3 linked regions of the Drosophila melanogaster genome follow. Changing the gene in region 2 together with the main gene of any one other region gives a genetic interaction. Each region holds a gene or a part of one and is shown on either strand. Other genes may lie near its edges.

Region 1 (6,394 bases), on a different chromosome or scaffold from region 2:
CTTGTTGATTGGCAAAGATAGCTTCGCACTGTCCTAGAACTTGGGCTGGAATGTCAGCTGCAGGTGCGCAAGAAACACAAAAAAAAAAAAAATAAATAAATAAGTAAAATAAAATAAACTATACACACTTATGGTTTCATAGTTTTTACACATACGTAATTCTGCTAGCAATCATTTACGAGTCACTAGATGTTAGATTTTCCTGAATGGCAGCGTTCTTCTTTTGAACAATGGAAACCTTGGAATATCGCTCATACGCCATGTTGAACACAACTTGACCTGTTACACTGGGCGTATGAGTTATATTTTTTGCAAACTTTACCCCAATAAGCTGTTTCGCTGTGTATTTCCTGTTCAATTGTAGAAAATAATTAAACAGGCGTAAAGGCTATTTTTACCGGATGCAAAAATAGAAAGCAGCTCTGTGGCTTGAAATCATTCATGGCAACAATTAGTTTTCAATTACAAAATATCGTCCTCGTCTAATTCACTAGCACATTTTACCCAGGCCTTTACGTATGCAAAAGTAAACAAGTTGCCATTGCGAAACACGTGACTGGGCCAGAAAATGGGAAAGGCGAGTATTTAGTGTGAAAGTCGAAAGTCGGTAACGGAAACCAAAAATGTGCTCGGAAAATGTAAAAGTGAGTGCAAAAAACGAGGGCGGAATGTAAATGGGACAGGGATATCTTCATTGTTGTCAAAAGGATATATGGACAAATGGAAAATAACCCTTAAATCTATTATTAAGCACTTCAAAAAAATGTCATTTTCTGGATTGTCCGTGTGGCCACATTTGACAACCAATTTGACAAGTAGATGAGATCCTGTAAGTCACCTATTTCATAAACTCTTAATGTGTGATTAAATTGAAACAGCTTGTTCTTTAATAATTGAATTTTATTCAGTTAAAAACTTATACTTTTGGTGGCAAACGCTTTAGGAAAGCTTTTTTGTTGACTTGGCTAAAAGCTTTTGTGCAATGGCTCTCAAACTGTAGCTAGCTTTCGATTGCAAATGTGGCTAACAGAATCGTGTACTCACCACTCGACGACTGTGGTGAGTTCGGTAAATTAAAAATATTTTTTTTTTTTTTTTGTTTTTTGGTTTTTCTCACCGTTGATAACCTTTATAGGTTACGGACTTAGGTTGATAATTCTAATTGTTTCAGCACTTGCTCCAATTTTGATGTGATAACATTTGACTCCCTAAATTGAATGAAATGCTCGAGAGTGCACACATGTCTAAATATTAAATGATTTGAGCAGTTGAAAAAACAAGTGCTACGAAAGTCGAACAGATGTCATTGCTTTTCAATTGAAGAAAATATGTTCAAGAATCGCACTGCGACCAATAAAACATTGAAATGAATTTGTGCACAATTTTACTAAAATTTATAATGTTATCTTATCACTAATTTATAAACTTAACACCTAGGCAAAGCTCAATATTAAGCACGTATTTGTGTATTTGGTGTCTATCTAGCTAATTTCTCCAAGTGTATACAGACCATTGCCATTATTTTCAATAGCGTATTCAACAATTTTCTGCGTGTATTTTTAGTACCTTTTCTTATCTGCGAACGGAAGCTGTGGCCACTTGTGAGCGTTCACCATTTAAATATTAAATATATTTTACATTAGCAAAGGCGAAAAAGGGGAGGAACAGGGAAACGAACCTGAGGAATGGGCCAATTATTCCAGGAGATGGGGCCCTAAAAAATCGCAACGTGTCCATTGGTCCTCCATGTGGGGCGTCGGCATCCAAGTCCGGTAATTCACCCTCACGCATGCGTCATTTTCGGATGTCATTGGGTCAGGCGCCAATGGGAAGCCGCCTTTTTGGTGGTGTTGACAGGGGGGGGGGGGGTGGTGGCTAAATCGGCTGAAGGTCACGGATTGTGGCCGGTCCTATGGCCAGTTGACAAACCGACTTAACCGCCAAAGCCGACGAGCCCGAAATGCTAATATCACATGGATGTCCGTCCTGCCAAACTTGTATTGTGTTGAATATTTAAAATAGTGCTTTGCATCAATTTTAGACCGATGACTGCACATTTAAGATGATTTGCTCACATGGTTGTATGTATGTTTTAGGTGCGCCAAGAATTAATTGTCCATAAACACTAATATTCGTAGGAACAGCGAGTAAAGGCTATAAAGTTCGTGTTTCAAATACGTTTTCACTGGTGTTTGGCTTTCCTACGCGAATTGCATCAGCATTTTATTGGACTCTCCTTTTTTTTTGAGTGTCAAATTCAAAGAACTTCAATAAAAAAATGTGCGAGGAGAGCGCCGCTTTTCGTGGGAGTGAGTGGGATAATTTGCAAACCGGCTGCCGCAGCAACAACGAAAGGTGAAAAGAGAGCAAGGAGCAACGGTTTTCACTTGTTTATCAGTTGACCCAGAGAGCGAGAGCCACTTGGGCGGGTGTTGAGTAAAAAAAAATGGGGGAGGGGGGGCTTACTATCCAACTAAAGTGATAGTTACTTTTTTTTTTCTATCGTTACGGCCTTAAATGCTGCTTTAGCCGACTGGCTAAATCGCGACTACGCTCCGCAAATAAGGATGGACAGGCAGAGCGAGAGGAGAGAGAGCAGGCGCAGCTAACTCTGCGTAAGCGGACACCCACGCATGTGAGCGAGAGAGGGATAGAGGGAGAGGGTAAGGGAGAGAGAGAGTGCGGTGCATCGACGCAACAGGCTTGCAATGGCCATTAAGCGCCGTTAAACAATAACAAGAGCACGCAAATCGCTTCGGCTCCGTCGCGCTTTCGGCCTTCGTGCGTCTTCGGGCGACGCCGGCAGAGCAGAGGCAGCGATGGGAATCGCAGCAACGGTTCTTAGACATTAGGTTGCGCGCCATCGTTCCAGGCGGTCGCACATTCCACGGTGTGCTGTCCCTTTGTTTTCTGTGTGACTCTGACTCTCTTGTGGGGAGCGTTTGTCTTTTTTTTTTTTTGAGTGCTCTCACATCCTCGAAGTGCCGAAATTTTGAAAATCCCCGACAAGATATCCTGGTGATATCGGTTCAACGTTTAAACAAAAACCCAAGCCCTGCTCCTTTTTTTTCATTCATTAACTAGTGTGATCCCAAAAAGGAACCCATACTCGCAACGAATACGAATAGTGTCCATCGCGTGTGAAACGAAACTAAAGAATAAGGAATGAAACAAGAAAATAAAGCGAAAAGGCGGAAAAGCGAACAGAAAGAGGGGAAACAAATATCGGCTCGTCCAGGAGCGAACAGATGATCAAAGGGGATCATTCGGATTTTTCGAAGAAACTTCTGAAACATGACGGTTTCTCTGGTTTTTAATTCGGATTTGGTTTCACCAAAGCCAAAAAATTTTGCTGATGTCAAATCACCGATTTGCTTCCCCTTTTTCCGTGCGCGGAGAAAAAAATCCCCAGAAACATAATATCAGGATGCTCTCTATCTCTGTCTCTGTCTAACGCTTAATTGTTGCTCAATTGCGAATTAATGTCTGGGGCTTTTTTTCTCCGTGCAGTGCCATAGCCGTAACCACAACCTGCCAGCCGTTTAAAGCCAAACTAAACAAAACGAACCGAAACTGCCTTCACAAAGTACCTAAGCCAAACCTAAATAGCTGCCAAAAGAAACCAAAACCGCCGTTACCCGGAAAAGAGATGATGGGATCGCCGGGATCCCAAGCGTCCGCGATCGCGACCTCGGTCGGAATCAGAAGCGGGCGGAGAGGTCAAGCGGGAGGATCGTTGCTCCTGCGCCTCCTTGCCGTGACCTTCGTCCTCGCCGCCTGCCACGCACCGCTGCTGACCAATGCCAAGGTGAGTTCGACCCTCTTGTTGGGATATGTAGTATTATAATTATTACATTGCTATTTGAGGCCCAGGAATGCAGTTAACAATTTGATTAGTTCTATTCGGTGACATGATCCTAACAGCCGCTTACCATTCACATGACCATTGCCCATCAGCTGATGCACATCCCATTCGAGATCGGTAACCCAATGATCTCTTATTCCGGATGACACAACTCTGGGTTCCGCGACGAACTTGAACTATTTAGCATGACACACATACGAGTATTGTTTTTTTTTCCCAATAGGCGGGACAGACAGACACAAAACGAGCGCCACCAGTGATTAGCATAAAAATGTATTTATTGTAAGTGGTTTGGAAAATAGTTTTCCTCCACTCGCCATCAAATTAGGAAGTTGAGCCGGGCTTCGAGGCTTCAGGGTTTCGGAGCTCGGTTACGGACAATGTTAAGGACCGGATTTCGAGTTGAGCAGAGGCCAAAAAAATAGATCACCAAGTCCATTGGGCCGGGGTCATCATCGCAGGTTATCACTCTCTCGAAAAAACAGACGCTGAATTAATTTCTTTTCACAAATTCGGATCGAGTTCAGATGCTGGCTTTTGAATTTGATGCGATTGTGTTCGGATGGCTTTGCCAATTATTATGAGAAGTCGATTGTTTCAGTTCCAAATTCTATCTTTGTGCCTGAAGGAGGGAGGGGTCGCTGTGTGTGTGTGTGCGAGTGTGTGTGTGTATGTTTTCCACCATAATGAGCTTTGATGATAGCGCGTTATCAGCGTGTTAATGACATGTTGCCCACAGACATTTGCTTGCAATGAAATAATTTCTTTAATTAACATTTAAAATCACTGAACGTTTGTGAATGTTTCAATGGCTTTTGTGAACGGACGGCAGTACCTGCTGGACAATTCTGGTACTCTGCTTGATTTTGTCGAGCATGTCGTTTCCATTCGATTTGTTTTGCTGCAGCGCTCACACTTTTTATCACATCGGAAGTTGCGTAAATGAGGCCAAATTCGAACACATGTACACATACATACATACGGGGGCTATGTCGCCTGCTCAGGGCTTATCGGTGGGACTGGGACTGGGAGTGGGACGGGAATGGGAGCCACACTTTGAAGAAGGAACCACTGCAAATCGGACTGCAAACGAGGTCACTGCTGCAGCACGATAGCTCCATCCTCCGCTTTTGCCCATCCGGCGTATGCGTATTGCCGGTCATCGGACATTGCGCATACGATCAGGTGGCACGGTGCCCCTTGGGGCATTCGATATCGTTTATCTTGGGTTTTATTCGTTTTTAAATTGATAGCTGAACTTGACTGAAAAGCACATATGCTAGCTATCAATAATCAGTTTAAACACCATACGTTATGTCACCATTCCTTTCTTTTTGGCAAACTGTGCAACTCGCCACTGATTCCATAGTGTTTCTTGAAAGTCTGAAGCGCAAAGTACAACTCACTGCATATGGCAACTTCTGATGCTTCAAACTGATATTCGCCTGGCAAGCGAATTGTGCTGCTCTGTTTACATCGACAGATGGGTCCTCATTCGATGGCCCTTTTCCGGCTTTCCAAGGGTATCCGATCCCTCACCCCCCACCCTTCTTGGCCCTTGGCTTGTATATCGCTCATCACATCACGCCCCGTTGTGTGCCCCGATATCTGTCAAACAAACTGTCAAAATATTTGCATCATCAACAACACAACTGCAAAGCGAATAAGAAAAAAAAAAAAAAAAAAATTAAAGCACAAAACGGCAGCCAACAGATGAGAAAATATCATTTCGCAGCTTTTTTGACTCGCCCGTATCGTTTTGGTTTCTTTTTCAGCTTTTCGGATTATGTTTTCTTTGTTTTTCATTGGTCTGAAGATGCGTTCGTTGGCACATTCCCTTCGGTTTTCAGTTCTCCTTGTTTTTCGGTTTTCTGGTTTTCTTGTTTCCGTGGCTTCACGGTTTCTGTTTGTTTGTGCAACATATGGACACAAGATGTTGTACCCCCGATCACACATGTGACCGGCTGCTTGGCTGCCTGGCTGTTTGTGTATCTGCCTCATTCTGCTGGCCTTATTGAATCGCTGGGAAATGGCCTTTAAGTTGAAAAGGCGTGGATCAGTTGATTTCAATATAAGCTAATACCTTCAATCAAGTTTCACTTGCCGAATAAAATGTTTTTTTTTTTTTTTTTTTGCAAGTAAAATATGTAACATTTGTATATAGCCCAACCTCTTTTCCTGTGTACCGAAAACATTCGCACAGCGATCACATGCAGTTTCACGGGAAGCGTCATGCGAGCATTTGTTTAAATATTACGCTGGGGCTGTCTAATACACCAACCCACCAACCCTACACCCCCCCTCACCCACTTGAGCTCAAGTTCAGACATTGACCAAGGGGCGGGGACTCGATAAGGAGGCGGGGCCGCGGGGGCAGAGACAACTGGCACACTTAAAACTGTTTATGCGAGATGTGCGAGGTGCGAGGTGCGAGTGAAGTGTCTGGCTCGCTTTTCCCTTCCTATTTGTGGAACTGTATATGAAACGCTGATTGGCGATATCGCCGAGTGTTGGCTTTGTCAAATTGGC
Region 2 (6,688 bases):
TAACGTTTTCTCATTCGGCATGTAACAATTAAAAGGACTCACGCGCGTTAAAAAGTTGAATACGCTAGCATAATTTAATTTAAATAATTATTCAGAGTTGCCAATTTTTGTCACTTCAGCAATTGACACCAATCACTTTGCGATTATTAGGCAACCCTTTAAAACTACACGAACAACAGCAAATCGATTTCTCAGTTGTGTTTTAATTGCGTATTTAAAACAATTTGGATCGGGCTATGAATGGAACTGATCTCTGATAAGGATGAAGAGACTTAAAGCGTACCTAAAGGATGGCATCAATGTGGCGGCGGTAATGTGTCTGGGCGATACTATATCCCAGTTCTTTTTTGATAAGAAATCGTTGGACGAATGGGATGCGGGGCGAACCCTCCGTTTCGGCATCGTTGGACTGGTGTTCGTTGGCCCAACTTTGCGCCGGTGGTACCATTTTTTGGAGTCCCGGGTTCCCAAAACCTACTCGCCAATGCGGCGGGGCGTTACCAAAATGCTGGTCGACCAGACCCTTTTTGCGCCACCCTTTACCATGGCCATGTCTTTTTTGGTGCCACTCTCCAACGGAGAGCCCATCGACCGAATCCGGCAGCGCATTCTTGATAGCTACCTATCTATATTGGTCCGCAACTATATGCTCTGGCCGGCCGCACAGATGCTAAACTTCAGATTCGTGCCGCTGGGCTACCAGGTGCTCTACGCCCAGTTCATCGCCCTCGTATGGAACTGCTACCTCTCCATGATACTTAATAGCTAGGGCACTAAGTTCCCCGCATAAGTAATACGGTGCCTGTGTATCAAATTTAACAAATACATTATTATCCTTATCTCGACATGTGACTTCGGACTGGATTTGGTTGTCGTTTTTTTAGGGGTATTCGGCGGAAAGGCTGTACATATAGAATGGAATTTATAGTATACATGTATTATAGGCACTCGAGTTTTAATCCTACAAAGCACTTCAAAAAATTTTGCTTGAAATCTTATTTCCCTCCGTTATTAGTCGGTTGGGCATGTGCTTCTCAAAATATTTACTCGATCATTTAAATTTGAATTGGATAAGCAAGATTGTATCATAACGACGTCACGCCCAATCTAACGCCCACAATTTCTGTGGGCGTTGTGTTGTTATTTTGTTTTCATTTAATTATCTGTCATGATATTGACATACCACAAAAATTTTGCCACACCCAAACTGTTATGCCCACTCTTAAGAATTATTTTTCGATTTTATTTTATAAATTCTCTTGGCTGTTTCTATCGATTTGCCAAACGTATTTTAGCCACGCCCACTGTTCCCACTATCTGAATAACGGGTAAACCTTTTATTTCTGACATTTTAAGGCAGATTGTGGGAGGTAGGGTTAAACAACAAACGTTCTGCAACAATCTTGAAAAATGTGGCGTCACTTGAATCTACATGCTCTGAGCTCTCTAGAGTTCATAGTTCCGAAAATATCAATTCTCCATAAGTTTGTTCCTTTCTACATTTCTATTTTACGATTTAGGGGAATAAACTTTTGAAAAGTGCGTCAACGGTATCTTCTGACAGTTTCCCACAAGTTGTTGATATCCTGTTGTTTAACGTGAGATAGACGATTTATGGATAGAATTTACCTTAGTAGCGCCAAAAATACCGCAAACTGCGCACGCACGAAGCTGAGAATGTAAGCAGCCAATAGTGGAATACACTTCATGTGTACATGTGCAAATAAACACCCTGCAATTCAATTCATTTAACTTTTATCTATATGTCATTTCTTAGAAAAAATCTCTATTGCTAATCAGCCCTCAAAACAGTGAAATTATTGATTATTTTTTTTTCTTACTAACTAACTAAGTCTCTAACTACATGGTCATAACAACAATGCTTTAAATCAGATGTGTAAATATGCACATCTGCAGTCGGTGTCAGTTGAAGATATTTCAATAGGTCATAAAATGTGCACAAAGGCCAACAAAAAAAAGTTGTGCCATGAAATTTTAAATAACAAAATTATGCTTTGATACAGTTTGCGCACATATTTGCTGTGGATTGAGGAGCTGTTAGCATGAAATTCTTAAGTCCAATTTTTCAATTTACATTTTCATTGTGAACAGACCTTTATAGTCTCATCACACTATCGATATTAAAGAAAACGAATATATTAAATATATTTATTTCATTTTTTAATAATGCTCAAGGAAATTAGAGAGATAATAAATATTATCTGGCTTGGGAATCAAACCCCTTCCAAATTACTTTCGTACGAGTCATTACACAGTAACAACAAGACATTTTCCATGTACTCGTGAACATTACATTTTGAAGTGTGCCATCGGTTAATTTAGGTATCGATAGTGATAGGTATGAACGGGTCTTAGGACTAACAACTAGTTGTTTAATTCTCTCCTCTGCCTTATAGTATCGATAACATTTACATACAATGATGTGTAAATTAAAGTGTGGTGTAATTCGAAAATAGACAGAAATTATGTTCAGTGACTTGCGATGTAAAGAAATAATAGTTAATGAGTGAAATATAGGAAAACAAACAGTAAGCCGGATTTCCGATTGTTCACTAGAAAACTATCGCCGTTCCATAATTCAGATATACATACAAAATTGTCATTTTTTGCTAAATATTAAAAAAAGTGTAATAAAATCATTTAACGTTCCAGTGTATATTGCATTGCTTTAGAATTATTAAGAAAATACAAATTTTCTTTAACTGGTATACAACGTTGTATGTATGTAAAAATTAAAAACGGCCATGCAATCATTTTGTTTTATGTACTTAAGTATATATTATATTTATGTAAATAGTATTTTTAAAAAGTGTGGCTCTTATTTAAATACATTGTTAGCTGCGTTTCACACATACGAAATTAAATGCATCATGCATTGGGAAAGATAGCAGCAAAATAAAATTTGCTGTATATGATGTGCATGTGTATGCATATAAATATATACATTTTGTATAGATGTGTGTGCACCAGAATATCCCAAAAATTCCAAATGCAAAAGATCGAGTTTTACTTCTCTCAATAATCTTTGCCTAAAAACATTTAAACTAAGTGCACTTACATTTTACCGGTTTATTATATGTATTTAAATTCGGGCGCTGGCCAAATTTGTATGTATGTATGTGCAGTATGCATATATGCATTTGCAATGAAATTACCAAATATTGTGCACGCTCGCCCAAATTTGAAATCCTGGAATAGCCGTGAATATACTTTAAAACTACATAAATTCTCTATAACGAAATGGCTTGGAATAAGTGGCCTGAGTGCGAATATATGTAAGTGGAAAAAAATTGAACGTTTGGAACTGAATTTGTTCAAAGTTTTACAATTAATGTGTTAGGTAGAGGAAATTTTTTATTGCAAAAACGAGATATGCTTATATAGCATACATAGGAAACTCCTTAGCTTGGGATTTCCATTCCATTAATATTTATAGCATGATATGGATTCATGTTTAATATATATGTACAGTTGCGGTCAACATATTAGCGGCAGTAGCGGAATATATTTTGGTCGGTTATAGTCCTATTCGGAGACAGTAAATGGTAGAGCACGTTGGTTCATGAATTATGCTTTGGGTGAGATTTTCATATTAAGGAGTTGAGCCAGTATATCTGAAGCTCCATCTTCAGTTCCGTCACCGGGTTCTTGCTTTGCCGAACCAAGCGCTTGGATGCTTGGAGAGCATCCAAGTTGGACATTGAAGGCTTTCCTCGCCGCGTTTCGTTCTTTTCGACAAACAGCAGTGATTTGCGGATCATTTTGTTTGAACAACCGACAATGCGACCAATTTCAGCGTAGGTTTTACCTTCAGAGATCACGTTTTTAATCAAATTTCTTTTTTCGACGGTACAATGCTTTCCGTGACCCATGACTAGAGAATTTTTGGTCTTCGTTTGGAGCAAATTCAATTAAAACCTTTAATGCAACACCTTTTTTTCAAAATTTGTCGTAAAAAAAACCAAAGCAATCACTCCCATTAATTTTATTCAGCAAATACGTTTTCAGTGCTATTTTTGTTACCGCCTCATTTCGCGCACTTTTGCAGCAAGTGCCCAAAAACAAAAAGAACCGTTAAATTGAGAGACTAAAAATTTATTGCTCAAAGAGGCAACATATGGTACTTATTATTCATGCAATCTGGCTTAAAAAAAAAAAAATTTATAATTTTTTTTAGGATATCAATTTTCCACCTGCAGTAGTGCTATTATTTTAACCTTAACTGTAGTTTCAAAACTATTTGTACGACATCATTTTAAACTATGCGATAAACTACCCATGTTTCAGGGAAGTACACTTACAGCCAACCCACAGTTTTTGTTTTGACGTGATTAAATTTTTAAACTGAGTTTTTTTGGCTGTGAAGATTTTCAAAATTACGATTTATTGGGTGTTCACGAAATACATTTATAATCTATATGTAACAGCATTTCAATGTTTGGTGATCCACACAAATAGAATTCGAAAGAATACTATAGTCGAGTTCCCCGACTCAGATACCCGTAACTCAGCTAGTGTGAATGCGAACGCGAAATTGCTTTATTTTTCTGGGATATCAATATTAAGGAATAAAATGAGAAAAAATTTAAAATTTGTTTTAAAATGTGAGCGTGGCAGTTTTGCGCGGTTTTAGGGCGTTAGAGTGGGCGTGGCAACATAGGTTAACAAACTTTCGCTCCGTATTTGTCTTTAGAATCTGTATGCTGAATCTCAACCTTTTAGCTGATATATACAGCTGTGTTCATAAAAATAGCAGTGCTTGGGACTTGCGAGTTTAGGATAAAAAATCATATGATTTAAAGTTGTAATGGGAATTTTTTTCATAATTTTATTATTATATCAAACAATTCAACATATGTTTCACTTTTATTTTTTCAATAGATATAGATTAAAACAACATAATAGGCAGAAATTCTGGTGTTCACTGAAATAGCAGTGATATGAAAAAATAGTAACAACATGACTTAGAACTAACATAGTTTTTTTTTAATGTGTTAATTAGGGACTAATACCTGGTTGGATTGCCTTTTTTAGCCAGCACAGCCTTACACCTACTCGGCATGGAGTCCACGAGGACGTTTGGGGGAATTTTTGCCCATGCATCCTGCACAACTTGCCAAAGCTGAATCTTGGACATCGGGGAATTCTTCGACACGTATTGTTTAATGTCCCCCCACAGGTTTTCAATCGGGTTTAAATCGGATGATGGTGCTTGCCACGGCATTGCATCTATTCTATTTTGGGTGAACTTATTCTTAGCCGATTTGCTTCTGCGTTTCGGATCATTATCCTATTGGAATGTCCATTATAAGGGCATATTCCATTCAGCATATGGCAGTAAAACATCACTAGGTATATTTACATACCATTAATCATATGTATGGGACCCACACCGTTGTATGAAAAACAGGCCCATACCATATTTATGTCCACCGTGCTTAACATTCTTGAGTGTGTGGCTTGGGTTGTACTCGGTCTTTGGAGGTCGTTGGACATACTGTCGTGAACCAGTTCCAGTTCATATTTTTGACTCATCAGTCCAAAGGATATTAAGCCATTTGGAGACTGGACAGTTTCTGTAGGTTTTAGCGAAGTTTAACCTTGCGTTCATTCGTACATGGCCAGATCGACTCGGCTATTGATCCTGATCAAGAATATATTTTCTTTATATGGTCGGAAACGCCTACTTCTGCCAGTTAAATAATTATCAACGAATCTAGTATACCCTTTACTCTACGAGTAACGGGTATATATATATATATATATATATATATATATATATATAACTACTTTCCTTATTGTTTTTTCAGGTTTACATGATGGTCATACAAGTTATTGCTCCAAGTTAAATTATCTTGAATGGAACGGATAATAAAAATTGCAAGAATGACACCAACGCAAAGGAAATTTTAATATTTACGTAAAATTTCAAATAAATAAGGGACATACAAGCGCCTACAAGTAACAATTTCATAAATAAGGTAGCTTTGATAGTCCTGTTTAAGGAGCGATTGTGGAGATGAATTTTGTTCTTAGTGTGTTGTTAATAGCAATTCTTAAAGATAAGTATGATTACTGGCTGCCATCGAGGACAGGTTGTCAAACCCTGGCAGCAAATATATGGTCTGACAAGACGACTGCGCAAAATGAGCCGATAAATTTGACTAATGCAAATGCACCGATAAAGAATGCAAAGAATCTGAATTCTACGATTACAAATGTAGCTGCGTTTGACACCAAATTGAATCACCTATTAGTGGACACCATTACTGGACGAGTCTTCGTTGGTGGTGTTAACAGGTTGTATCAGTTGTCGCCTGATTTGGAGCTTTCCGAAACTGTGAAAACGGGGCCTCAAAATGATTCCGTCGAGTGTAGCATTCTTGATTGTCCATTAAATGCAGTTCGCAGTCCGACGGACAATTATAATAAGGTCTTGCTCATTGATCGTGCAACTTCAAGACTTATTGCGTGTGGATCACTATTTCAAGGTACATGCACAGTTCGTAATCTTCAAAATGTCAGCATAATTGAGCATGAAGTTCCTGATGCTGTTGTGGCTAATGATGCCAACTCCTCAACCGTAGCATTTATTGCGCCGGGACCTCCACAACATCCGGTGACTAATGTGATGTACGTCGGAGTTACATACACAAATAATTCACCG
Region 3 (6,667 bases), on a different chromosome or scaffold from region 2:
GATCTCGGCAATGGCCAAAATACGTCATCTTTCGATGCCTGACTCTTTTAAATAATTAAGGAGACTGACTCATGTGGTTCTCTACCACCTATATATTACTTAAAAGGTGCACAAATAAATATACCCAAATTTATCTGTAAACAACGAGAAGTTCACAGAACATTGGTGCTTTTATTTTAGACGGTGGCACATCCGGGCGAAATGTCGAATTTCTGAGAGTGCCACTGACATGAGGCTCCATTTAGAAATATCTGTTTATATTATGTTCATTGGCCAATTCCACGACCTTCAGATGCGATCAAACATTGTCGCCTGTCAGCACTTTGAATTTTCATTGAAAATTGTATTGTTCACTGCCATTAATTGGCCTTCGCTTTGACTCCGGGGGAATCGAGCATGCAAATGCAATTTGTTTGGATGATTTCAATTGAGAGACGGGAAACCAGTGCAATGGGGTGTTTGCATGGCGATTCAAATCAATAAATCGCGAATGGTGTTTAGTCAATAAACCACTTGCAGTTTTCCCAAGAAAAATAGAAACACAAAAGTTGATTACATAAAGCACTAATGGTAAACTTCAACTTTATACCATAGCGTATTTTGAGATATGAATTACTTTAACTTGCATCTGGTTTCAACTTGCTATTAAGTACTAAAGATAACATTGAATTAGGACACGAAATTCGAAGAACTCGTGGATATAAAACACCCCCACGGAGTTATATTACTCGGGATAATCCCCAATGCTTGCCCCATTCCCAGTTAGGTTTCTTTGAAAATTGAAAACTTCTAGTTCGGAAATGAAGTGCAGTTTTGTAAACAAATGTAGGTGCTTCTAACAAACCCCTATGTATATATGTATGAAAACATATAGCGAAGGTAGGTGAGCCGTGCTAGAAGCTGTCGAAGCGTAAAAACTTAATCATATTAAGAGCTCGCAAACCGGCTCCTAAACTAAACTTGGTCTAGAAGGCAGAAGGGCCGATTAAACGATAGATGGATAGATGACTGAAGCTAAGCGAACGGGTGAGTGGCTGAGTGAATAAACCGAGTGGCTAAATGAGCAAAGTTAATGCCTCACTGGCTGTAAAACTGGAAAATCGAGGCTCAAATTAAAAACCCAAACACACCGGCACAAAGGCGGGCGTAACAAAAGTAGCATGTTGTATGTGCTTAGTTGTCTCAACTGAATTATAGACAAGAGCAGAATCTTATTCACCGGATCAGCGAACTTTTGCAATGGAAAAATGCACAAATAACAAAGCGAAAAACAACAGCCATCGCAACAAAGGAGCTCATTCACTTGGGTCATGGTCATCACGGCGATGACGGCGATGTCTGTCGCGTTTTTAATTAATAAAGAAACTCCTGTCACCTCTAAAGTGAAATAAAATGAAAATAAAAAAGAGACGGAGCGAAAGAAAAGCTCAGACAACAAAAAGCATGAAATTGAAAACGAACAGTGTGTATTTGATGTATTTTTGATAAATTGTGAAAGTGCCCGGCCCAGACGACAGCTAATTGACGCCCCAAAACTCCCCAACAAACCCATTTTTCCCGACCGAATGGCATATGTTATTAAAGTGGCGATAAAAATGCGATAAATAGCACACAAAAGCCTATCATGTGAAAGGCCAACAAAAACCCAAATGGCATATGCCAAAAAGAAAAAAGAAATCACATTGGCGATGAAAAACTTAACTCTGTCGCTTTTCAACTTGAAGAAAAAACTTCAAATACATAGAAGTACGAGTGTAAAAGATACTTGTCCTTGACCGTAAGTTTATCTAATTCGGCTGATATTTTATCACTGTCACAACGCAAAACATTGAACGATATCAATTTCCCATTTATGGGTTAATTGGGGGAAGAAAGGCAGATACGGGGATTCTACTCGAGTCGGGTTTGGAGCAATGTTTAATGGCTTTTCAAGTGCTTCTCAAAATGAGGAACCGAAGACCCTGCCTTCCACTTGCAGTTGCAAACGCATTGCGGTCATAAAGAGTGCACTTTATGGCATTCCACAAACAAAAGTCAAAGGTTTAAGGGGGCACAAAAATGGGAGTGTTTTACAGGAGTGACAGCAGTTAAAATATGTGAAAGTAATCTATACTTTCTAATTGGAACTATTCCTTACTTTAAGTTCATGATAGATTGGCTAATTGCAGAATATTTAAATAAATTTAGCACACAGATACATATTATTTATATTTTTCTGATCCCACATATTTAGTAAAAGGGGGAAAAAAAAAAACAACAAAAACGAGGCCCCAATTAGGGCCCAAATTAGGTGTTTTTCTCGAGGCTGAGGCTTAAAATAACATTCCAACCTTCGAAAGTGATAAAAGAGCCCAGCGTTGATTATTATAAATAGCAATGCTCCACCTATTATCTTATCTCTGGATTTAAATACACTTTTGGCCATGCCAAAGATCGGACCAGAAATATTTATTCAGTCAAGCAAAAAGTTTGGCTCTTCCACTGGAATCCAAATGGTGAGTACTTTCCCATTGTTCTTGTGCTTTTGCCAGTGCAATGTCATGACTTGACGCCATCACATTTTCATTTTCTGGGCTGCCTTGATTGGTGTAAAGAAAATTGCACCGACATCAGAACGCGATCTTAAAAGTCAATGCTCCTATATATTGCTCTTGTGACTGGGGGGTTCAACGAATGGCGATTATTCCAGCTATATTCTTATCAGAGGATGTTCGTGATTGCGACTCTCTTGGTAATTTCCATAGAGTTCAACCCGTACAATGGGTTTACAAATAGCACTATATATCATTTTATTCTTATTTTATCTTCATGTACTAAGCACTGTATATAATCTCAAAACAATCATTTGATTATCTACTTTGATAGATATTTCATGTAATTTACTGAATTTCTTTAAAATAATGTCATGGCTAATATGTCAAATCTTTTCGCTTACTTGACAATAATGTTCCCTGCTTTCTTGTTTGACTTTCTTTTGTTTTTGGAAAACTTCGGCACTTGTCATTGTCGGCTGCTGCCACGCCCTCCGTCACGCCCCTTACAATGATGTCACATTGCACAGACTCAAATTGCTCCAATTTCGCCCCCATTGCTTTTGACTATGTCACGCTTTTCCCAGCGAGCGCTTTTCCACACTTGACTTCGCATTTCCCCGCGATCTTGGAACCGCGGTATTCCCACCTCAACTAATAACTTTGTTGGTTTTCCATCCATTTTCCGAGTGCATTGCGCCTGGGCTTTGGCTTTTTCCGCAGTTTGCCACTGTTTCATTTTCTTTTTGCATGCCCTGGATTTCCATTTTGTCGTACTTGGTTTTTGCGCTGGTTTTTCTCGCCGATTGTGAAAAGTTGTGCACTAATGGCAGCTGTGAAATGCATTTATGTTTATGGTCTAGTTTTTCCATTCTTATTATTATTTTTTTTTTTTTTGACGCCTTTTGAGCACCTCTTAAGGGCAAACATTTATTCTTATCCTCCAGTCACATTAGTGCGAAGGCTAAGAGCAACCGTGATGGGTTTGCTTTGGAATTACGAATGGAAGTGGAGCAAAGCTGTGGGATTTAGAGTCATTTAACTTTACGGATCTTTAAGCGTCACTACTACTACCTAACTACCTTTCTTTCTATAGGACCATTTCATACCCTAGAAGACATCGTTTGCCTGTAGTATTGTTAAAATAAACGAATAACTAACTTTCATATACCAAATCTCAAGTAAAGAATGTTTTATGAAATGAATACACCTCTCTTAAGATATATGAATCCCAACATGTGTGAGAAAATTAACATAAAATACCGATAAGATTACATAAACATGCAAATCTTCCACTTCATCTTATAATATAGCATTATTGATCCCCGGCTGGCGACTCACCTTGATAATTTACAAATTCAGTTGGAACTGTTTGATTTATTCGAAAGGGTTTGCATATATCATTTTGAAAACGGCAAATTGCGATTATAATCGAAACAAAAGTGAGCAGAGGAAGAGAAGAAGAATAAGAGGAATGGCGATATTAGGGAGATAAAGTTGCACGCGAAAACCGGTTGCCGTTATTGTTTACACCAAATCGGAAACGAAGTTGTGGGGGCAGGCGCGAATATGAATGTTGTACGGAGGGGAAGAAGTGGAAACTGGGCGGAAAACGGAGAACGGGGAACGGGAAAGTGGGAATCAATAAAACAAACACACCACGAAAAACACATGGAAAGTGCAGCAAAACTATATGCCTTTCATTTCGGTTTAGTGCACAAATCGGCGAGTCCTGCTGCCACAAGAATGAATCATTCGAATCTTTTCGATTTTGTCGAAAGATATGATATGTGAGATAAATAATATGCTGATGCACAACCACACACACACTCGCACTCACGCTCACGCACACCCGCCCCCACACACACGAACGAACGAGGCTTCACTGTTTATGTTTATTAATATATTCCAGACACGCGGATCCATAGAAGAAAATCATACATATTCGAATTCACGGCGGCGACGACAGCAAAATGAAAAAAAATCGAAAACGAACCGAAAACTGAAAAGCAGAACACACGCGTTGGTCCTATTCGTTCCTTTGTTTTTGATATCGTATCGCGAGGGGCTAAGAACTATAACTATATCCGCATTATATAACCGCACTGGTAGATCCGGGCATGGCTGCACCGTGGGGCACGTAATTGCACCCGTCACTTACACTTTTCCTCGCCAGTCGCTTGGATCTCGCGTCCGAGTCGTTTGGGGATTTGTTTTTTAAAACGCGACGTTCGTTCCTCGGTTCTCGACGGCTATAAACAGTGTGGCCGCGCCGGGAGTGCAACTATAAGCCGATGGTGTGACCATGGCGGGAAAGTGGTATTATGCCGTGTGCCATATGGGCAAATATACCAAAACAATAAATAGCAATTCAAATAATTTAATATATAACATGTTTACTTAAAAACTAAGCTTTTTACCTAAATAAGTATAATAAAGATATAATAAAGTAAAATATTATTTTGTTATATATAATATTACCTGTGAAAAAATTTTAAAAACGTCAATTTGTTTTATACTTCTTTATTTCTTTCATTTATATAAAGAATTCCATGTTTAATTTATTCACATTGAAACATATTCAGCATAACAGTTTTGACCCACTGTAAACCTCCCTTTTCAATACTAATTCTAACGTCAACCATTGTTATCGATAACAGCTAATTTGCTGATCGCTCTCGTTCGCATAAAATAAACACTTTTCCGGCATTTTAAAATGGTAAGTAGATATTTAACGAACTGTGCCTTTTATACATCCCTTTTTTCCGCTAGTTTTCTGTCCTTCATAAAGAGGAAAATGCGCACGACAGTCAGCTATGGGCGTGCACCTGGGGACGCGACACTGCGGCCTCAGATCCGGATGACGCGGTCGTGGAGCCCGAGGAGAATCCCTTTGATTTCGATAAGAAGGAGGCCCGCCCGAAGGATTTCTTGGTCACCGGCGGACTGGATGACTTGGTAAAGGTGTGGGACTTGCAGGAGGACAACACCCTAAAGTTGCGCCACAAACTAAAAGGACATGCCCTGGGAGTTGTTTCTGTGGCCGTCAGTTCCGATGGACAGAGTAGGTTGAAAGATTCTGTACTTGGGAGATAGAGAAATGGACATCAATTAATGGTGCCGCCTTCCTTCCAGCCATTGCCAGTAGTTCTCTGGACTCCACCATGTGTTTGTGGGATGCCCGTTCGGGCGACAAGAAACACCTACTTAGCTTTGGGCCTGTTGATCTCTGGACGGTGCAATTTTCACCCTGCAACAAATATGTGATATCCGGACTGAACGACGGCAAAATCTCCATGTACAGTGTGGAAACCGGAAAGGCAGAGCAGACATTGGATGCCCAAAATGGGAAATACACGCTTAGCATTGCCTACGTAAGCTTTATCTGGTAAATAACCCATTTTGAGAATCCTATAGCTGTATTATTCTAGAGTCCCGATGGCAAGTACATTGCCAGTGGAGCCATCGATGGTATCATTACCATTTTCGATGTGGCCGCGGGCAAGGTAGTGCAAACATTGGAAGGACACGCGATGCCAGTGCGTAGCCTTTGCTTTTCTCCGAACTCGCAGCTGCTGCTCACTGCCTCAGATGATGGTCACATGAAGCTTTATGATGTGTAAGTGGCTTAACACCTATGACATTTTCAGGCACTACTATCTCCTCGTTTTAGAACCCACTCCGACGTTGTGGGCACCCTATCTGGGCACGCATCTTGGGTGCTGTGCGTGGCATTCTCCGAGGACGGCAAACACTTTGCCAGCTCCTCCAGTGATAACAGCGTGAAAATATGGGACACCTCGGAACGCAAGTGCCTGCACACGTTCGCCGAGCACACAGATCAGGTGTGGGGCGTCCGATATAGCCCCGGAAACGACAAGGTGGCCTCTGCTTCTGAGGACAAGTCCCTGAACATATACTACTGTCCGCCCAATGCCATTGTTTGATTTCATACAATAGAGCGTAGGTTTAAAACAAAGAACAAGAATGATTTATTTACGGATTACCCTCCGAGCTCGATTTAACCCGCAGAAGGGGCTGCGTGGCTTGAGTTAGCATCGTGTCTTTGTACTTCTGGTCGGGTATGTACATATTAAAAGTTTTAAAGTAGTGCAGTATGTTTTCTAAAAAGGGAA

The links.
Region 1: of PlexA (region 2) and trol, changing one enhances a phenotype caused by changing the other (phenotypic enhancement), as found in Drosophila melanogaster (one study listed by BioGRID).
Region 3: of PlexA (region 2) and Mical, changing one suppresses a phenotype caused by changing the other (phenotypic suppression), as found in Drosophila melanogaster (one study listed by BioGRID).

The regions. Positions count from the first base shown.
Region 1 is NC_004354.4:2,541,879-2,548,272, reverse strand, and holds the start of trol (terribly reduced optic lobes), read left to right. Parts: upstream 1-2,845; 5' UTR 2,846-2,890; intron 2,891-3,364; exon of another isoform or gene 3,365-3,510; 5' UTR 3,511-3,649; coding exon 3,650-3,808; intron 3,809-6,394.
Region 2 is NC_004353.4:1,022,824-1,029,511, reverse strand, and holds the start of PlexA (plexin A), read left to right. Parts: upstream 1-2,410; 5' UTR 2,411-2,549; exon of another isoform or gene 2,550-2,742; intron 2,743-2,976; exon of another isoform or gene 2,977-3,296; intron 3,297-5,831; 5' UTR 5,832-6,040; coding exon 6,041-6,688. Other genes in the region: mitochondrial inner membrane protein MPV17, read left to right, coding at 263-769.
Region 3 is NT_033777.3:10,038,100-10,044,766, forward strand, and holds the start of Mical (molecule interacting with CasL), read right to left. Parts: upstream 4,797-6,667; 5' UTR 4,693-4,796; intron 3,900-4,692; exon of another isoform or gene 3,873-3,899; intron 1-3,872. Other genes in the region: CG3909 (uncharacterized protein), read left to right, coding at 5,248-5,250, 5,304-5,595, 5,667-5,905, 5,963-6,150, 6,205-6,478; CG11722 (uncharacterized protein), read right to left, coding at 6,528-6,655. UniProt on the Drosophila melanogaster protein: Monooxygenase that promotes depolymerization of F-actin by mediating oxidation of specific methionine residues on actin.